Arabidopsis thaliana: one gene and its partners. The protein of the gene in region 4 interacts with the protein of the main gene of each other region in a pairwise test. Each region holds a gene or a part of one and is shown on either strand. Other genes may lie near its edges. The genes, in order: PTAC16, DCP5, AT3G23390 and CSP3.

What was found.
Region 1: the proteins of CSP3 (region 4) and PTAC16 interact in a two-hybrid assay, tested with the Arabidopsis thaliana proteins (one study listed by BioGRID).
Region 2: the proteins of CSP3 (region 4) and DCP5 interact in a two-hybrid assay, tested with the Arabidopsis thaliana proteins (one study listed by BioGRID).
Region 3: the proteins of CSP3 (region 4) and AT3G23390 interact in a two-hybrid assay, tested with the Arabidopsis thaliana proteins (one study listed by BioGRID).

Annotation. Positions count from the first base shown.
Region 1 is NC_003074.8:17,226,912-17,231,770, reverse strand, and holds PTAC16 (plastid transcriptionally active 16), read right to left. Parts: upstream 3,130-4,859; 5' UTR 3,006-3,129; coding exon 2,589-3,005; intron 2,312-2,588; coding exon 1,844-2,311; intron 1,718-1,843; coding exon 1,649-1,717; intron 1,498-1,648; coding exon 1,439-1,497; intron 1,270-1,438; coding exon 750-1,269; 3' UTR 542-749; downstream 1-541. UniProt on the Arabidopsis thaliana protein: Probably involved in the regulation of plastid gene expression.
Region 2 is NC_003070.9:9,023,823-9,029,810, reverse strand, and holds DCP5 (decapping 5), read left to right. Parts: upstream 1-1,855; 5' UTR 1,856-2,254; coding exon 2,255-2,405; intron 2,406-2,709; coding exon 2,710-2,810; intron 2,811-2,889; coding exon 2,890-2,964; intron 2,965-3,054; coding exon 3,055-4,014; intron 4,015-4,186; coding exon of another isoform or gene 4,187-4,206; intron 4,207-4,299; coding exon 4,300-4,371; intron 4,372-4,499; coding exon 4,500-4,673; intron 4,674-4,753; coding exon 4,754-4,864; intron 4,865-5,003; coding exon 5,004-5,195; 3' UTR 5,196-5,470; downstream 5,471-5,988. Other genes in the region: ICME-LIKE1 (alpha/beta-Hydrolases superfamily protein), read left to right, coding at 1-44, 417-482, 592-735, 826-916, 1,003-1,155; AT1G26100 (Cytochrome b561/ferric reductase transmembrane protein family), read left to right, coding at 5,730-5,852, 5,946-5,988. UniProt on the Arabidopsis thaliana protein: As a component of the decapping complex, involved in the degradation of mRNAs. Promotes P-body formation. Translational repressor.
Region 3 is NC_003074.8:8,373,334-8,376,983, forward strand, and holds AT3G23390 (Zinc-binding ribosomal protein family protein), read left to right. Parts: upstream 1-1,999; 5' UTR 2,000-2,093; coding exon 2,094-2,096; intron 2,097-2,313; coding exon 2,314-2,493; intron 2,494-2,671; coding exon 2,672-2,746; intron 2,747-2,831; coding exon 2,832-2,891; 3' UTR 2,892-3,103; downstream 3,104-3,650. Other genes in the region: RIC5 (ROP-interactive CRIB motif-containing protein 5), read left to right, coding at 614-671, 765-865, 953-1,375; FIB4 (Plastid-lipid associated protein PAP / fibrillin family protein), read right to left, coding at 3,303-3,517, 3,608-3,650.
Region 4 is NC_003071.7:7,762,980-7,767,104, reverse strand, and holds CSP3 (cold shock domain protein 3), read left to right. Parts: upstream 1-1,828; 5' UTR 1,829-1,923; coding exon 1,924-2,829; 3' UTR 2,830-3,577; downstream 3,578-4,125. Other genes in the region: AT2G17860 (Pathogenesis-related thaumatin superfamily protein), read left to right, coding at 4,087-4,125.

The DNA of each region.
Region 1 (4,859 bases), on a different chromosome or scaffold from region 4:
GTGCCCTCAAATTCGAAAAAGAAATTGTCTTCTTTTTTTTTGGAAAGAAAAAAAATGGAAACAAACGAATTGACATTAATTAGTTTAAACATGCAATATAAAAGAAAACACAAGAGTCTAAAAACACAAACACAAGAAAGAAAACACAAGAGTAGTCAGTTTCTGCACACGAACACAAGAAAGAGATATTAAAGATGCCAACGGCTGCGATCTTAATTCTGGCGTATTCTGCATTTGTTTGGGTTTTGATAAGCTATTGTAGCAGCCGGAACAATAATGTTTCGAAGAAGATTGCTACCAGACCAAGCGGCATAGGATTAGGAACTGGAACGATTTTCTTCATAATCTTAGCCCTAATGGCTATGATGTTCTTAAACAACAACGCTGGACGAATTCAACACGGTATCAATGAACAAGCTGATGGGATTTAGATTCTTGTAATCATCTTTTTCTTTCTCTTCATGCTTTATCTCAAAGGCGGTTTTTGATTTCTTTGTTTTAGTTTGGATTATGTATTTTAGGGATTAATAAAATATACATTCGGATGTGATCTTCTTCAAACTTGTATTAAGAATTTAATTGAGGTGAATCAAATTAAAAACTTGTGTTATATCAAGGGATTTAAAGAGAGAATGATGGTTTTTTATGTATAATTTTGTCATACGATTACAGAATTTTAACTTGAAACAGAAGGAAAGAGAAAAAAGGAAACTGTACGGAACTTCAAAAGGACATCGCATATGGCCTTTTCAATCATCGTCGATGTAGATGGTCTCTTGCTTAAACAATCCTCCGAACACTTTCCTCACCTCTTTCTCCGGCTTCTTCGGACGTTCTTCTTTCGGTTTGGATGCAAACGGAGATGATGGTCTCTGCTTCACCACTGCTTTCTTGGGTGGCAAGTTTCTCGCTTTTGCTTGTCCTCTGACCGTAGCAACCTGTACTTTAGGCGTCTCTGAAGCGTTCTGAATCGCAGTTGCGAACTGAGAGCCGAGTTTATTCCAGGAGAGACCTGAGCTGATATCTTTCGCCTTGTTAAATAAACCGTCCACTGTGACTCCCACGGCATCTGCTTTCTGCTGCGCATCCTCAGCTAAGCTTGCAGCTTCTGCTTCTTTCTCAGAGAGCTTTTGCATTTGCTTCTCAAACTCTTTCGCTGCTTCTGCTGCCTCTCGAGCTTTGTCAGCTGCAACTTTAGCTTCTTCCTCTGCTCTTTCCCTTGCGATCGCATCTGCGTACACTTTTCTCCTCCCATCTTCCGGGATTACACTATCATTAATTCATAGATAATGTTTCATTAAAAGAAGTTAACACAAACGTTTATCTAAGCTAGAAACACTCTATCGATCGAGAACGCGTTTAAATCCGAATTCGCTAGTTTTAAGATCATTATATTATTCCAATGACTTTTGAATCAATCAACAGAGGACTCATTTACCTGAAAAGCTCGTCCACTGGCCGCGATGGTGCTGATGGATCTGTAGAAACTTCCACCACCTGCAAAAGGACACACAAAACAAAGCCGATGCTTTTGAGTGAAAACACAGATATAATTTAATTCAACGGAGATAATTCTTGCCCTAGTGTCTGCGTTTGTATGATGAACAATCACAAACTTGACTGGTAAGTTACTTGTGCTATACGCTACCTTATTTTCTGCCACGGCCGTATTCGCAAAAATGTCTGCAACCAGCGACGCAATCTTCAACTTCGGAACCTGGTCACAAACAGAACATCAAAACAAGTTAATAAAACCATTAATCAAAACCAATTTATAACCAAATGATTTCGTTTCAATGTAATGTATGATAATAATCCCTTTTTATCGCATACATTACATTACTTTGTAGGCCTCGGACGAACTACTGCCACTGCCGCTGTTACTCCCTTCAGCTGAAACGACGACGTTATAAGCTTTCTCCGGAGAGAAATCCTCCGTCAAACTCGTCTTTATGAGTGTGTAGGCCACGTCGGTTTGAGCTACTTTCTCGATGAGGTCAGAGATAGTCAATGGCTGAGATTTTGCGAAAAGATTGCCGAAAAACGAAGTAATCCCGTCGAGCACGTTGTATGTGGACCCGCTGATGGTGCCGTCGTAGACTATCGCCACGTGGCTTACGCCGGCTAGCTCAGCTGCTTGGACCACGAGCAATGCGTCTGAGGTCGAAACTTGGGCGTCCGGACCATTCTCTGTTGCCCCGACCGTAACAACAACTTTGGTTGCGTTTCCAATCGCTTTTGCTATTGATTCAGCGTCTTGGAAGGGGGATTGAACTGCGTTTAGCCTCTTGACTTCATCATTTGATAAAATCTGTTGAAAAGCTGATCGTCAAACCATAAATCAAAGCTCTAAACGCCACCAAATTCGTAATCACACGTTAATGTGAATTATTACGAGTGACACACTGACATACAGTACTTACATAACATTACATGCGAAGTTAAAGCAATTATTAATACCAAACCGAGTTTGCGTATCGCTAAATCTTAAATCCAAAGTGCGATTGCGACCAAATATCAAGATCAACATTATCGCGTTTAGAAAATTGACAGATTATGAATTAAAGGACTTAAAAACAAAACCGGACCTTGTAAGTAGCCGCGACACGAGCTAGGTCCTGGGCAGCTCCAAGGTCAGGAACACCGGCTCGAACACTGAATCCTCGTTGTAAGAGCGTTTGAGCTATGCGTATACCAGCTTGTCCCGTAGCACCAGCCACAAAAATAGTACCAGGATCTTTCTTTCTGTTATTACCAAACACTAAACCGGTAGAAGGATTCGTCACAACCGGTATCAGTGACTTCATGTCCGGTAACTTACCGAAATCAAACTGGAACGGGTTCTTCCCTTTTTGTTTCCCCTCCGAGTCATCATCACCCTTCGTTTTCCCGAGTTGAAACGCCGTTTGCTTAGCCCACACGGTTAACCTCGGTTTTCTCCGGTTAAACCTGACACCCTGCGGTGGCGCGGTGGTTAACGGGAATGAAGTTGAACTTGAAGCCATTAAGAGGAGGTCGACGAGCTTAGACGTTTTGCTTGTACCTCAAGTAAACAATGTGGATGCCATACATTGAAGATGAGACACCATGGCGAGTGCAAAAAAGACTTTCGTTGTTTGTGTTTTTTACGGATGATGCTTTTGTTATCCAGAACAGATTCATAGCCAATAATAGAATGCCACGTCATTAACATATCTTGATGTGGCTTGGTCTGAACTTTTCGCCACAGAATCTTGATCCTGCGGGCCCAGATATTAAAATACTTTCAGCTTTGCTACAATATTTTCACGTAATATCATTTGTATCCAAAATGAAATTAAAGTTAAATCAGAATTTGATATCGGTTTTGAGGGATCAGTTAAATCAGAGAACAGCGATCAAGTTAATAGAGAAAATCATCGAATTTGAGACTGTTTATATTTATTATATTTTTCTATACAAATAAATATTCCTAAGCAATTGTGTTTTGCTAATGAACTTTTCAACTGAATGAAGAAACTGACATTTCCAATTCGAACAGGAACCGGAAGACACGCGCTGATTAATCTAAATCGGAAATCTGAAGAAACGGTTTAATAAAAACTGGGACATTCAGTTAGAGAAATCTATTGTATTGGTTTTTTCTCCTCGTCTTCCTCTAAAAACCTTCTTTTATCGGTTTTTGCACTAACCAGACTCAGATGCTGCAATTTGCAGTGGTTTTGTATCATCGTAGCAAAAACAAGCCGGAGAGAATCTCAGAAAATTCAATAGATTTTTATTCGGTTAGTAGTTATTTGCAATAATAATGTAAAATATGTATGTGTCTCGTTAAAAAATTTGATGTGATTGACCGTCATGCATAAAAAGAAAAAACACTTAAAATTAAAAGTTGACACTTATATAATCTTAGATATACGTATTAATTAAAATATAAATGATCTAAAATGTGCTGTTTTTCAATATTAATTTGAATACAATATTTTCAAAATATCAAAACTACTCTTATATTTTTGCAACGTCCTAGCAGATTTTCTGTAGATGATATAAATTTCAAGTTCGGTATATAAAATAGATTCACAACGTAATAAATCCTAATATAAACCCATCAATAGTGGGCCAAATATCATCAACGAAAGTTAAAATGATTCCAAAAATTAACTATCACCAAATCTTGTGATCCTTAAATGATTAGATGAATAAGAAATCTAATGTTTGGTTCATGGTATAGATTTTTTCTTTAAAAACTCACCATGTAAACCCTTATTTATAAATATGATCATCAATAGTCAAGTTTGACTTTCATATGATGAATTGTTATGAAATCAGATTAAAGTATTTTGCAAATGAATAATATATGTATGTATTAACTTTTAATGAATTAATATCATAATTGGATTATATACTATAAATATATTACATTATGTGATTTTTGTCAAAAATTATTCACAAGTTTGTGTATAGTTGTAAGATAACTGGAAAATTTTAACTGCCCTAATCTAAAATTTAAAGAAATAATTGATGTGTCACTATTTTAGGTTATGAGTGGATGATGTGTTTTAGCTCTAAGACTGTTCATCTTTCCATAATTTTCTCAACTTCATCTCTGATATACCTCGATTTTCACTGCTTTTAGCTATGATCTAGGTATAGTTTTTAGAGTTCTTTTGTTATTTGTAGAGTCTTTTCTAGTCTTTTTCAAGTCTTTACATGTTTGGGATGCATTTGGAGATTATGGAGCATTCTTGAACAAAACATACAACTTAGGCTGTAGAAGCAATCCTGAGACGAAAATTGACGTAGGTGTCAATCGACACAACCCCTGGTGTCGAGCGACACTAATACTTGACGGCAATTCAATTGCGCAATTTATTGAAGTT
Region 2 (5,988 bases), on a different chromosome or scaffold from region 4:
TGGAGTAGTTCACAAATAAATGCTTATTTTGGTCTATCTGGAGGGTAAGCAAAATCCTTTCTTTTGGTCTCAGAGTTCAAATGACTAGATTAATAACTTGTTATTTTGGTCTTCCCAGTTATAAGGATAAGACGATACATTGGAATGTAAATTTTTCTGTCAAGAAGTTGAGAAAAACAAGTTTCTTTAATTGCCTGAGTATTTATATATGTGTTAACTCCAGTTTTTATCTAGCCACCAAGGTCTTTTGTAGAAATGCTAGGCAATTCGTAGAACGGTGAAGTAATGGTCAAATATTAGCTCAAAGTAGCAAGTAGATTCCTGCCTTCTACCCAACTAAAGCAACAAATTTTTTGATGAGGCCTCACATCATCTGCTTGGCTATTCTTAACAAACTTTGTGATCGTGATCTACAGATACAACCTTTTGAACCTTGTGGACCACTTCCATAGCAGGGGGCTGTACCGTTCCATCTTTCTGAGGTATAGCATTTTCTCTTTTGGAATCTTGGTATAGCTTACGTTACTCACCTGGCCAGTAGAGCAGCCTGAAATTTTTACAGTTTAACGTGTGACGTTTGATTTTCCTCAGCATCATGGAAGGAGAGGAATCATTAAGGCAGTTCTCTCCTGAATTAGTAGTGCAAAACCCGAATCTCAAACACATCATTGCTCGTCTCCCACCTTTTATTTTATTCCATGGTACTGATGACTACTCCATCCCGTCAGATGCAAGGTATGGTTTAACTTTTGTGTGTATTTGTCTGTCTTATGTATATCAGAAAGTTAAGATGATGATTGAACTTCTATTACACTATCTTTGCAGTAAATCTTTTGCGGAAACCCTCCAGAGGCTTGGGGCCAAAGCAAAAGTGATCCTTTACGAGGGGAAAACACACACGGATTTGTTTCTTCAGGTAAAATGGCCGGTCTTTTTGAGGTATGAATGTCTTGTCGGACAAGAACCTGAATTTTGATCTAGAAACTTGGTTATCTATGTTAGGATCCAATGAGAGGTGGAATAGATGAGATGTTTGAAGATATAGTAACAGTGGTTCTGGGAGACGATCAAGAAGCGATTGGTAAAAGCGTAGATAGAAGGCGTCTTGTACCTGAATTCATGTTGAAGTTGGCTCACTGGGTCAGTCCGTTCTAACTCCTACACTCTTATCTCCCAGAAGATCAAAGGAAGTACATTCCTTCTTCCAGTGATACAGACGGGTCAATGTGCATATTACTTAACAAGGAAAACAGATCCCACTATACTTTGACGATACAGATGATTTTGAACTTTGATGATGATGATATTGTATCCCGGTTTGCAAATACACTGATTATTTCGTCATTGCCTGTTTGTGTTTTTGTAGAACACTGAAAGTGCATTAAAGAAACAAGGCTTCATTGACTTTGTCACCTTAATTAAACTGTCTTTGGTCTTCTTCTTCTCTGATCATTAATCATTGGTTGCACTATTTTCTTGGCATCAGTTGACTTCTCTACCTATATACAAAGTGCCGAACCAGTGTCATTTAACAAGGAAGAAATGTAGGTCTGATTTTTTTTTTAATAATTAAAACTCTCCAAAGGTGTGATTTTCTTGAGAAAAAAAGGTGTGATTTTCTTGACAAAAAAAGGTGTGATTTTCTTAACCCCAATTTTCAACTAAAAATGTAGGTGAAATCACCAAAAATATTTCTCAAAATTCATTTTTTAAAAGGCCTTTTAATTTATGAATAACACTAGATTTGATACTAGGATTAATATGTAAATAATAAGCTCTAACCATCCTACCAAAATAAAATAATAAACTCTAACCAGAGTAAGCAATCAGAACACGAGCCGTGGGATTGGAATGGCTCGAGTAGGCTCGTAGCTACTCGCCTAAACACACCATTGGCGGTGAATTACGAAATAAACCCTTCGCGTGTACACGAGGCATACTTCGGTTAGTGATTAGAGAGAAGTCAATGGAGCCATACTAGGCTATAATGGTCAGATTGATATTATTTTCTGAATTGGGCTTTTATGGGAATGGATAATAAAAAAGAGATGCTCGATCTCCCCAAATTAGAGTAAACCCTAATTGTGTATCTGTAGCTTTCTCTCTCTCTCTCTCTCTCTCTCTCGCGAAGAAGAAGAAGAAGAAGGAGATCAAGGAACTCGAAGTGTGTGTGTGTGTGTTTGCCTTCTCTTGTCTTTTAGTTTTTTCTCTCTTTGGCTGTGATTTCGTCGGCGAAGAGAGACATAGATCGGATATGGCGGCTGATAATACGGGTTCGAAATCGAGCTCCGCTGCGGATTCTTACGTTGGGAGCTTGATTAGTTTGACATCTAAGAGTGAGATCAGATACGAAGGGATCCTTTACAATATTAATACAGATGAATCCAGTATCGGACTTCAAAACGGTACGATCCGTTTCCACTTCCGTTTCGGGATTACCAGATTTGTTAAGTGTTAATTTTGGTGGTGTTTTCTCTCGGATTTGGTAGAAACTAATGGTTTCTTCCGTTAATCGTTAAGAAAGTTTTCTCCAATCTGAACTGTTTAGCTCGATTTGAAAGGAATGTTGTTTTAGTGCTCATGTCTATTACTTGAGTTCTCAAATTGTAATTGATGTCTTGAAACTATTGGTTGAGCATAAAAGATCAGTGTTTAAGTGGTCGATGAGGTAGATTTTGGTTCTGATCCCTGAACTTTTGTTGTGTGTAGTTCGATCATTTGGAACTGAAGGAAGGAAAAAAGATGGTCCACAAGTTCCTCCAAGTGACAAAGTTTACGAGTACATATTGTTCCGTGGAACTGATATCAAGGTATTCAGCAGGATTATGCTAATACTTCTATGTAAGTAGCCTGCCGATTTTGTACTCTGATTGTTCTTGTTGTTGGTAGGATTTGCAAGTCAAAGCTTCTCCACCAGTTCAGCCTCCTGCATCTACTATAAATAATGACCCTGCTATAATTCAGGTGAATGTTAGAAAAGTTGTAAGATTACATTGTCTGGGATTTTGGAGTCAATTGATGTAACCCCATCCTCCACTTGTCTTGGTTTTGCAGTCTCACTACCCTAGCCCGATGCCAACATCTGGTAGCTTGCCTTCTACTGCGAGCGGGTCACTACCTGACATTAGTTCTCATAATGGACAACCTGGACAACATGGAATGGGATTTCAAAACGCAATGCCTTTGTATCAGCCTGGTGGAAATCTTGGTTCATGGGGAGCGTCACCACAACCACCAATGTATTGGCAAGGTTTCTACACCCCACCTCCCAATGGCCTTCCCCAATTGCATCAGCAGTCTCTGATTCGACCCCCTCATGGGCTGCCAATGCCCAACTCTCTTCAGCAACCCCTGCAATATCCTAACTTTAATACCCCTCCTCCACCTACTGGGTCATCATCTTTGCAGGGGTCAAGCTTGCCAGAAGCACCCTCTTCATTGTTTCCTTTTAGTACCAGTTCTCAAATGTTAGCTCCTAGTTCATTGCCTTTCCCTGGTCTACCACCTGTGACGCTCTCGTCTAGCCTGCAGTCTACACTGCAATCAGCACCATCTCCTTCACTAGCTTCAGAGATGGCACCTCCGTTGCTGTCAAACAAAGCTCCTATTACTGCTCCTCCTACCCTACCTCAGGATACTAATTTGCTTTCGTTTTCTCTATCTACTACGAGAGCCACAGAAGCAAGTACTGGCCTTCCACTGTCTAACAAGCCTAGTGTAGTAACTGGTCCAATTTCTCCGCCGCAGACAACACCATTAACATCTGCTCCTGTTGCGGGAGTTTCTAGTTCCATTAGCCAAGATAAGCCAAAACCTTTGTTGGTTACTCCTGGTCAACTGCTGCAGTCTGGATCTTCTGCAGTCTCTTTGTCCCCACCCTCGACAAATGCTGATAAAGATGTTGAGGTGGTTCAAGTATCGTCATCAGCTGGGTTGGAACAATCTGTTCCAGTTACATCCGAAGCCCAACCTCCAATACTGCCATTGCCTTCCTCTGCAAGACCAACTCAGAAGGTTTTTAACTTACATAACATGCCAAATCCTTCAATGTCTCTTATTAATATCATAAAGAACCTTGAATTTGCTGGTGTCTTAGTTAGCTGGAATAAGGTGTAACTGTTATAACTGCACCTGTGGTAATTCCCATTTTAATATTCCATGCTGTGTCTCTTTTGCTTTGTTGAAGATGCATGAAAATCTCTCAGGGTTCTTTGGTGTATAAGATGGTTTCTTTGCATGTCTACTTATAAGTCTTCATGGTGAAATTATTTAAACTCAATTGCTGATTTTTTTTCTCAGCCAAACGGGCATTCTTTCCCAAATCATAATGGTTACAGGGGACGTGGAAGAGGACGAGGAAGAGGAGCAGGGGTACTATTCTTCTCACTCATTTGTAGAATGTGACGGCATTTATTTGTTTTTACCAAGGAAAAGATCTACCAGTTTAAAATAGCTCATGAACTTTAGCCATGTATGCTAATAATTCTTCTTGTTGGCAGAGATCACACCAAGTAATGAAATTCACTGAAGATTTTGATTTCACAGCAATGAACGAAAAGTTCAATAAGGATGAAGTATGGGGTCATCTTGGGAAGAGTACTACCTTAGATGGTGATGAAGATGATGATTCCCCGACTGTAGATGAGGCTGAGCTTCCTAAGATCGAGGCCAAAGTAAGTGAAGTAGACTTATAATCAAGTAAAGCCACCATATTCTCCCTCTCTGGTCTCATCCACATTGTTTATTGATGTAGCCTGTTTACAACAAAGATGACTTTTTCGATAGCCTATCATCAAACACCATTGACCGAGAGTCCCAAAATTCAAGGCCTAGGTTCTCAGAGCAACGGAAACTAGATACTGAGGTACAATCTATATATTTCCACACTCTGAATAGCAAGCAGACTGGACAGAGTTTGTCCCCCCTCGTTGCTGGAGATACTCGAATTCCCAGAATCGTAAGAGAATCCCATTGACTAACAGAACGTATTGCTATGATTTCAGACATTTGGTGAATTCTCGAGATTCCGAGGAGGTCGAGGAGGGCGTGGTGGTTATGGACGAAACAACGGTTACTCACGTGGTGGTTATGGAGGGCGTGGTTATGGCGGTTATGGTGGCCGTGGCGGCGGCGGCGGTGGCTACGGGTATGGTGGACGTGGCCAGGGGAGAGGCGTATCAAATCGTACTACCTAAACTGTTCTGCTAGAAAGGGCTCTAAAGACTCAAAATCCAATGGGAGCTCAGCTCTTGAGTGCTTTTGGTATGTGGCAATAAAACAAAAACCGAGTCCCGTGTAATGTTTTCTGTTATAAAACCCCACTTGTGTGGTTTTGGAGTGTATTAATTTGATTTCTGATCTTTGTTTTTAAGACTTGGTAATAGCGTCGTTCTTCTTATATCCAATGTTATTTTGAACTTTTGTATACTCGACATTTGGTGTGAAATGCATTTTCTATTTACTCTCAATAGCTTGTTGCTGTTTACTGTTGGTAGCTTCTTGTCTAAATTTCAAAAGTCAAACATTTTGACTTTCAATACAGTACCAGCAGCCTTGAATCAAATGGGCCTTATTAAGAGATAGAGAGGTCTTCTTTATACAAGATCCATAAAATGTCCTCTCTATTTCTCAAATTATCATTTTGTCGGCAACTCTAGTGTCTGAGAGACTGTAGTCACTGTACTCTACAGTAGCACTACTTACTCAACTTTTGAAGAGAGAAAACAGAAATGGGAAGTGTAGATCCTTCAAGACTATCATTGGTCTTGTTTGCGAGACTGTCCGGTTTAGTAGTCGCAGTTTCGGTTCTGTACTGGGCTCTCTTCCTGCCTAATCTAGGACTCAGCTACTCTGTAACTATCACACTCCCTTCCTCGTTGATATCAAATTGGATCTCTCTCTCTCTCTCTCTTTCTCTCTCTAATAAAGTTTTTATACCCTTGTAGACTCTTCATCCTCTGCTGATGGTGATTGGCTTCATTCTTGTAA
Region 3 (3,650 bases), on a different chromosome or scaffold from region 4:
ATCCTTTGACTTCCAACTTCTACATCCAATAATCATCCGCCACGTAGCTTTTATGCATATGTAAAAAAGAAATAGGCAAGAAAAAAAGAGAGCCTTTGTGATCGAACAAAGAGGACAACATTTGAGATTTCTTTCTTCTTACGTTACCTCTCTCTTAAACAAAACAAGAAACAAGATAACAACACAAATAAGTTTGAGAAAAAAACTTTTTGATTTGAAGATAGTAACATTTTGTGTAGTTTTCTTAACCAGGTATCATTTTCTTCTTCTCCAAACAGAAATAGATGTGTGTGTTTTTTATCTTATCGTTTGTTTATATATTCCTCTCAAATTTGCAGAAACTCATAGCTCTTGGACATCTATATGAATCTATTTCTTTGTTAAATAGGGTTTTATCTACTCCACAAACATGTAAGTTCTTTTTTATTTTTCTTAAGATTCTTATCGCAATAGGATTCACGCAAAAACAATTTAATTCTTTGGCCAATCTATGCATTACCGAAAGTTGTATCCCTAAGAGAAGAAGAATCTCAAAGAAAAAATATTAATTTATGAAAAAATGTTTATTTTTTTTCCTTGGTGTGCAAGCTAGGTATGCATCTGCAAGTTGAATATGACCTCACCTATGAAGGGTCTATTAAAAGGTTTGAGGTACATTGCTCGTATCTTCGGTGAGTTTATTTGTTCTCGAAACAAAGATCATATATGTCTATACAATTACCAAAAATCAGATTCTTAAATCTTATAAAAAAAAATTGTTGTAGAGGATGAGAAGGAACCAGAGATGCAGATTGGAATACCAACCGATGTCAAACATGTTGCTCATATAGGATGGGAAGGGCCCTCAGCTACCACCCCAAGCTGGGTATATCCTTCTCTCAATATTTTTATAACATATTCTACATATCTTTTGTTTGTGGATTAGGTCAAATATTTTCATGGGAATATGCAGATGCATGATTTCAAGCCTACCGATCAAACGAAGACTGAGACGAAAGGAACATCTAACAAAAAACCTGGGAGTTCCGGGGAGAAACATAGGAAGGGAAGACGTAAAACATCAACAGGAAACAACTCACCTACAGAATCTCCATCAAGGGTAGGAGGATCAGTAAGGCCATCAAAACGCAACACGGGGAAACAAAGAGAGCAGAACACGGGTTCAGGGTCAGAGTCAGGTTCAGGATTAGAGTTACCTCAACAGACTGATCAGTTTGTTGTACCAAAACAATCAAAGCAAAAAAAGTCAAAAGGATCAGCAACAGGAGGAGGCGAACCTCCTCCATCTAATGAACCATCAAACAAGAAAGAAACAGATATATCTGTGAGAGCGGTTTACCCTTGTGCGGGTCTTGGAAGTTCTACAGGAAGATGAAAGATGAGGAACAAAGAAAGAGAGTGTTATATTTTCAAGATTAGACTAGAGTGTGGTGGTGGTGGTGGTATTGTTTCTTCTCATGATTGATCTACACACTTTAGTCTTTTCTCTCCCTTTTGTTGGAAATGCCTTTGCATTACAAGACCAATGTTTTATATCGCGTCGAGAAAAGAGAACCCTTTGATGATTGTGAACCAGGGATGTGAAATATATGCTTGCTTAACACTCTTAAATTATTCTCAAGGAATCTTTCGATTGTGTTCTTAGGATTCAATTAGTAATAGACTTGAGTGTGTTTGACATATCTATTGGGCTTCGATTGTTTGTTGCGTTTACATGTTATAATAGGTTTTTATTTCTTGGTTCAAACGAAACCAAAACTTAAAAGTAAATCATTTTTTTCTACTGAATTTTGTTTTTGATGCTTTTGATTTCATTTGATCACTTCAACTTTAGTTCCAGGGTCTTGACGATTTAATTCAAAAAGCAAAAAAATCAATAGGAAACAAAAACTCATAAAGGACTTTGACATACAGATGGGCCCATTGTTTATGACCAATCCTTATACTATATATGGGCCTTATTAGTTAAACCTAAGGCCCAAAGTCAGATTAGGGTTTTCAGAAAGTGTACTATAAATTCTTCTTCTTTAAACAACTTCGTCTAGTGGAACGACGACGGCACAAAAGCTTCACCGGAGATCAGAGACGCGAAAATGGTAAATTGTTTCTTCTCTTTCGATGTGATTTTGGAATTTGTAAAGTTCGTTGACTTTGAAGAACAACAATACATGGTTGATTGATTTATTGTATTGTTTTTCAGATCTATCATAAAAGTTTTCAATCTAAATGATGTTTGTATTTTGATTAACCTTAAAAGTCTCTTGATTTTGTATGTGTGTGAGTGATTCATTTTTGATTTTATGAATTTTGAAGGTGAACATTCCAAAGACAAAGAACACTTACTGTAAGAACAAGGAATGCAAAAAGCATACTTTGCACAAGGTTACCCAATACAAGAAGGGTAAAGACAGTCTTGCTGCTCAAGGAAAGCGTCGTTATGACCGTAAACAATCTGGTTATGGTGGTCAGACTAAGCCTGTCTTCCACAAAAAGGTAACATTGATTATCATGCATTGATTGTTTTTTCAGTTTGAATTAGGTCTAGTTAGTTGAAATGAGGTAGTTTTAAGGAACCATTTATAGTAGAATTTTGGAAGTGAGCTGTGAGGAAACAGACATTCCAATAGTCTCAGTTTTGGACTGAGATACATCTTGTGAATCTTGTTAACAGGCTAAGACCACGAAGAAGATTGTTTTGAGGCTTCAGTGTCAAAGCTGCAAGCACTTTTCGCAGCGTCCTATCAAGGTGCATAGAACATAGATCAGTTCATTATACCGGATTTGTAACTTGGTAATTTGCTTACATTGTGTTGGTTTGTTGTTTATTTCAGAGGTGCAAGCATTTCGAGATCGGTGGTGACAAGAAGGGAAAGGGAACATCTCTGTTTTAAGTTGGTTTCATCTTATTTTCTGCGATTTTTGTACTTGCTGGATTTGGAATCCATTTGTTTTAGCTCTCTCGTATAAGATTGTCTCATCTTTGCTTGTTAACTCTATATTTTGAATCATCAAGATATGGTTTTGCTGTTAATCATTGACCTTCGATATTTTTTTGCCAATCCGTTCTCTCTACCAACCTAAGAAAAAATCACTAATATCTCACATTAGAGGGTGCAAAATTTGGAAGGTCTATATCATTGTCCAATTTTCTGAGTCATACAAATTCTTTCATATGATTCATTGAACAAGACACTCATTTACTTATAAAGCGCATTTATATGTTCACATGATTTGTACAAAACTCATGAGACTGCATCAAGCAGAAAGTATTTATTTATCTTTACATGTCAAAGCTTTGAGAATTAAGCAATGACGAATACCCTAAGTTCACCTCTGTCCCCGCGAGTTATGCGCATGGTATCATCAACATAGGTAACTTCGAAATCCCCAGTTCCAGGGTTTGACGATGGTCTGAAACTGTCGGGAAGCCTCGGGATATCAAACGGAGGAATCTGCGACAAGTTTCCCGATGTCTTCACAGTTGTTTTCTCAAATGTTATCTTGATCTTGCAAGTGCCTGTTTTCCCCATAAATGTCAAAGATACAGATAAGTTATTTTGCTCTTACACAATTCGATAAACTTAATGAGAGAAAGGGAAATGCAAACCTAAGAGTTCAAACTTGTGTGCCAATGTCGCAGTGGCTTCTAA
Region 4 (4,125 bases):
CTGGGTGGTTGTGCCACGTAGGATCAACACGGTTTATCGTGCCACGTAGGATCTGTCGCGTTTTTAGCCTTTGTATCCATAAGTAGTAAGTAGTCTGTATTTAGTATTTACCATCTAATAAAGAAAATAAAAATTTATGTATAACTTAAAGTGTTCCAACTTAGCAATCAATAGTATGTAGCCTTGGAGAAACAGATTTTTTTTGTTACAGGTAAGATTTACATACTGAAATCATATAGCATTCTTAGAAAATTTTAGTTGTATTATGTTGTAGTCACCTAATTTAAAAAGCTGGGAGTGTTTTTTTTCTAGTCGCACAATCAGCCGACATCGACAATAAAAGAAAAGAAGATCTATGTCAAATAGTAACAAAAATACATAAATACATATATATGTAAAGATTTTAATACTGTTGCGGTGCGGTTTTGGGTGTGGTCTATGTTACCATTCATGGTCTTAGTCTATCGAAAGTTCGATAACGTTGTTTGCCTTGGTGGCAGTGAATTTTTTCCTGTCACGCGACTGTGAAAAGAGTAATTTTTAGAGACGTTACAATCGCATATCGTGAATTCCGATGTATGTGATATGTGTATGTGGAGGGTTACTGAGAGTTTTTTCTATGGGCGTTATAAACATTTTTAGTTTGAACGTTGTGCAATCAACTAGGTATGCATGCATGGGTTAATTTTATGATTCTAATTTTTTTGGGTAAAAGTTATATAAATAACGGTATTTCAAAGAGTTAACATTGGGTCAAATTTCTTGCTCAGAATTTCAGAGTTATACTAACATGACGTTTATGATGATAATAATTATAGTCAATTTAAATTGCCTTCACCAGGGCCACCAAAATAGCTAAGCAAATACGACAGACAAGGTTCTTTTCTTCTCGTCATCATAATCCATGTGTCACTCTTGTTTCAACATGCCATGTTCTGGAACATTTGCATCTCACGAATCTTTCATAATATTTACAAAAAAAAACTCATATTCTTTTCACATATATATAACTATTTTAAATGTGAACAAAAAAAAAGTAATTATAAATTCACTATTGTCATTAAAAGAAAAATAAATAAAAAAAGGAACTCTTGTCATTTTCTTAAGTATAGCATTGTCATGACAAAAGCTATGCTGTCCATAAACAATGGGAAGCAGAAGATTGTTGATGTTCGACACCATACATTATCAAAATATATAATATATATATATATATAATAGACGATAGATATCCAATAATTAGTTTAAGTAATTGGGATGTTCTTTTTTTCTTGCTTCTAGAAGAAAATATGATCGAATCATTTTTTTCTTCACAATTGAACTTCGGATAATATCATCCATGTATTGGTTCATTGAATTAAAAAAGTGAGCTGGGATATTGAAAATTTGGATGCAAAATAAGTTGCATAAAAATAGATATAATATCAAAATATAATATATTGTTTAGATAAAACAACCAAAAGTGTGAAACACTTTCTCTTCTAGTAGAAGTATAACATAATAATCTAAATCATGTCATATTTACTTTAGATTTACTATGAATATCCCTTTCTTTTTGCAAAAAGTGATAATTATAGACTGCATTTTCATCCAATTCCCAGAGTTTGGGGATGGTTAAGAGATGATAAAACATCTCAAGCATTTTTTTTAAAGTTAGTGTGAAATCAAACCTTATCAATTTTGCTTAGTTCTTTTGAAACTCTTACATAAATAGGCCCATTTCATTATGTGAACCATGGGCCTGATCCAAAATGCACACGTGGTAACTGCCGCCGATAGAGAAGGAGCTGACGTGGCGAATTTAAGGTCAATTTGGGGTTAATAGATCTAGCAAGTAGCAATTTAGGGTTTTCATTTTACCCATTTCCTCTCTTTGTACGAACAAAGTGCTTCGAGTTTTTGTTAACCTTTTTCTCTGATCTAATGGCGATGGAAGATCAATCGGCGGCGAGATCTATCGGAAAAGTTAGTTGGTTTAGCGATGGAAAAGGCTACGGTTTCATTACTCCCGATGATGGCGGCGAAGAGCTTTTTGTTCATCAATCCTCAATTGTCTCCGATGGATTCCGTAGCTTGACTCTTGGTGAATCGGTTGAATACGAAATCGCGCTTGGAAGCGACGGAAAGACTAAGGCCATTGAAGTTACTGCTCCCGGCGGCGGTTCACTTAATAAGAAGGAAAACAGCTCCCGTGGATCCGGAGGTAATTGTTTTAATTGCGGTGAGGTTGGTCATATGGCTAAGGATTGTGACGGTGGAAGTGGTGGGAAAAGCTTTGGAGGTGGTGGTGGTCGTAGATCTGGCGGCGAAGGTGAATGTTACATGTGTGGTGATGTGGGACACTTCGCTAGGGATTGTAGGCAAAGCGGTGGTGGAAACAGCGGCGGAGGAGGAGGAGGTGGTCGTCCGTGTTACAGTTGCGGTGAGGTTGGTCATTTGGCAAAGGATTGTCGTGGTGGTTCTGGTGGAAACAGATACGGAGGAGGTGGTGGTCGTGGATCTGGCGGTGATGGATGCTACATGTGTGGTGGTGTGGGACATTTCGCTAGGGATTGTAGGCAAAACGGCGGTGGAAACGTTGGAGGTGGTGGAAGCACTTGTTATACCTGTGGCGGAGTTGGCCACATTGCGAAAGTTTGCACCAGCAAGATACCTTCTGGTGGTGGTGGTGGTGGTCGTGCTTGTTACGAATGTGGAGGAACTGGCCATTTGGCTCGTGACTGTGATCGGAGAGGAAGTGGAAGCAGCGGAGGTGGCGGTGGCAGTAACAAGTGCTTCATCTGCGGCAAGGAAGGTCACTTTGCGAGGGAATGTACTTCGGTTGCTTAACAAAAAGATGCAAAGAAGAAGAGTAATGTTCATAAACCTCTTTTGTTTTCTATTAAAATCTACCTAATGCTCCTTTTTGGTGACTATAATGTGATTGCTAAAGTCGTTTAGGATGTTTAAGAATGGTTGTTTTGGGAGTTTTTGATCTCTCTATATTACTCTTTTGACTGGTTTATGCAACCTGTTCACTGCTTTTGTTGATGCCATAAGTTTGAGATCTTGAATGATATGTGTGCTTGCTTATTTACAGTTTCTTGTCTTTCCTTGCAATGAGTGTGATTGTATGACTTGAAAATTCAATCTGTTATGGTCACTTCTGTTATATACCAAGATTTGAGACTTTTTTTTACTAACTTGTAAATACAAAGAGATGAGTCACAAGTCTTTCTTGGTTCCTCTTTGTTGGAGAGCTTAAAGATTTTCCTGTAACTGGTTTACTTATACTCTGCATTGCTGTTTTTCTTGTTCTTGATGAAACAGAGATATTAGCTTAAGAATAATCTTTTGATATTTTAGATTACTTAGATCTTGTTTTAGGAGAATCTCCTGAACAGAGGAGAGACATGGTGTGCGTGATCTTGTAGTGCCTATGCCTGTTCGTCAGTTCGTGGTTTCTTTTTCTCTACTTACCGTGATGTTTTAAGAAGATGATGAAGTTAATCCCGTTAGTTTTTTTTAACCTAATTACACTTGTGATTAGCTGAATCTTTCGGATATAAACATTTGGATCCCACGTGTTCTGTTATTGGAAGTGACTTGATCTTTCTTAACATATACAAAGACAAGCTTCTAATGTCCAACACCTCCTTTATTTCCGTTAATACAAAATCCCACCAATTCCAGTACAATTAACTTACTACACAACACCATACATGTCTCTTTCCTATCAAAGTCTTTAAACTAAATAACTTTTTCCTTAACAAACAAAAGAGAGCTTTTTCCTCCTCTAACCTTTATCTAAATTTCTAGTTTTGAATTTAGGAAGAGATCCTCAACAAATAGTTATAAAAAAAAAATGTATAATTTTCGAAAAGGATAACAAGTATACTAGCTTGATTCGTAATTTCCATTTCACAAGTATTAATGAGAATATTGAAATAAAGGAAATGATGAGTGAACATGTATCGGATTCTGTAATGGCAAAACTCATATAGGGAAAATTGATATTATGAAACTTTCCATAACACAAATCCCCGATTCTCTTATATAAACACGATCCCTAACTTCTCCTGAATCATACAACATCAAACGGTAACAATGGATTTGGCTAAAGTCTCTTGCTTTCTCTTAGCGATT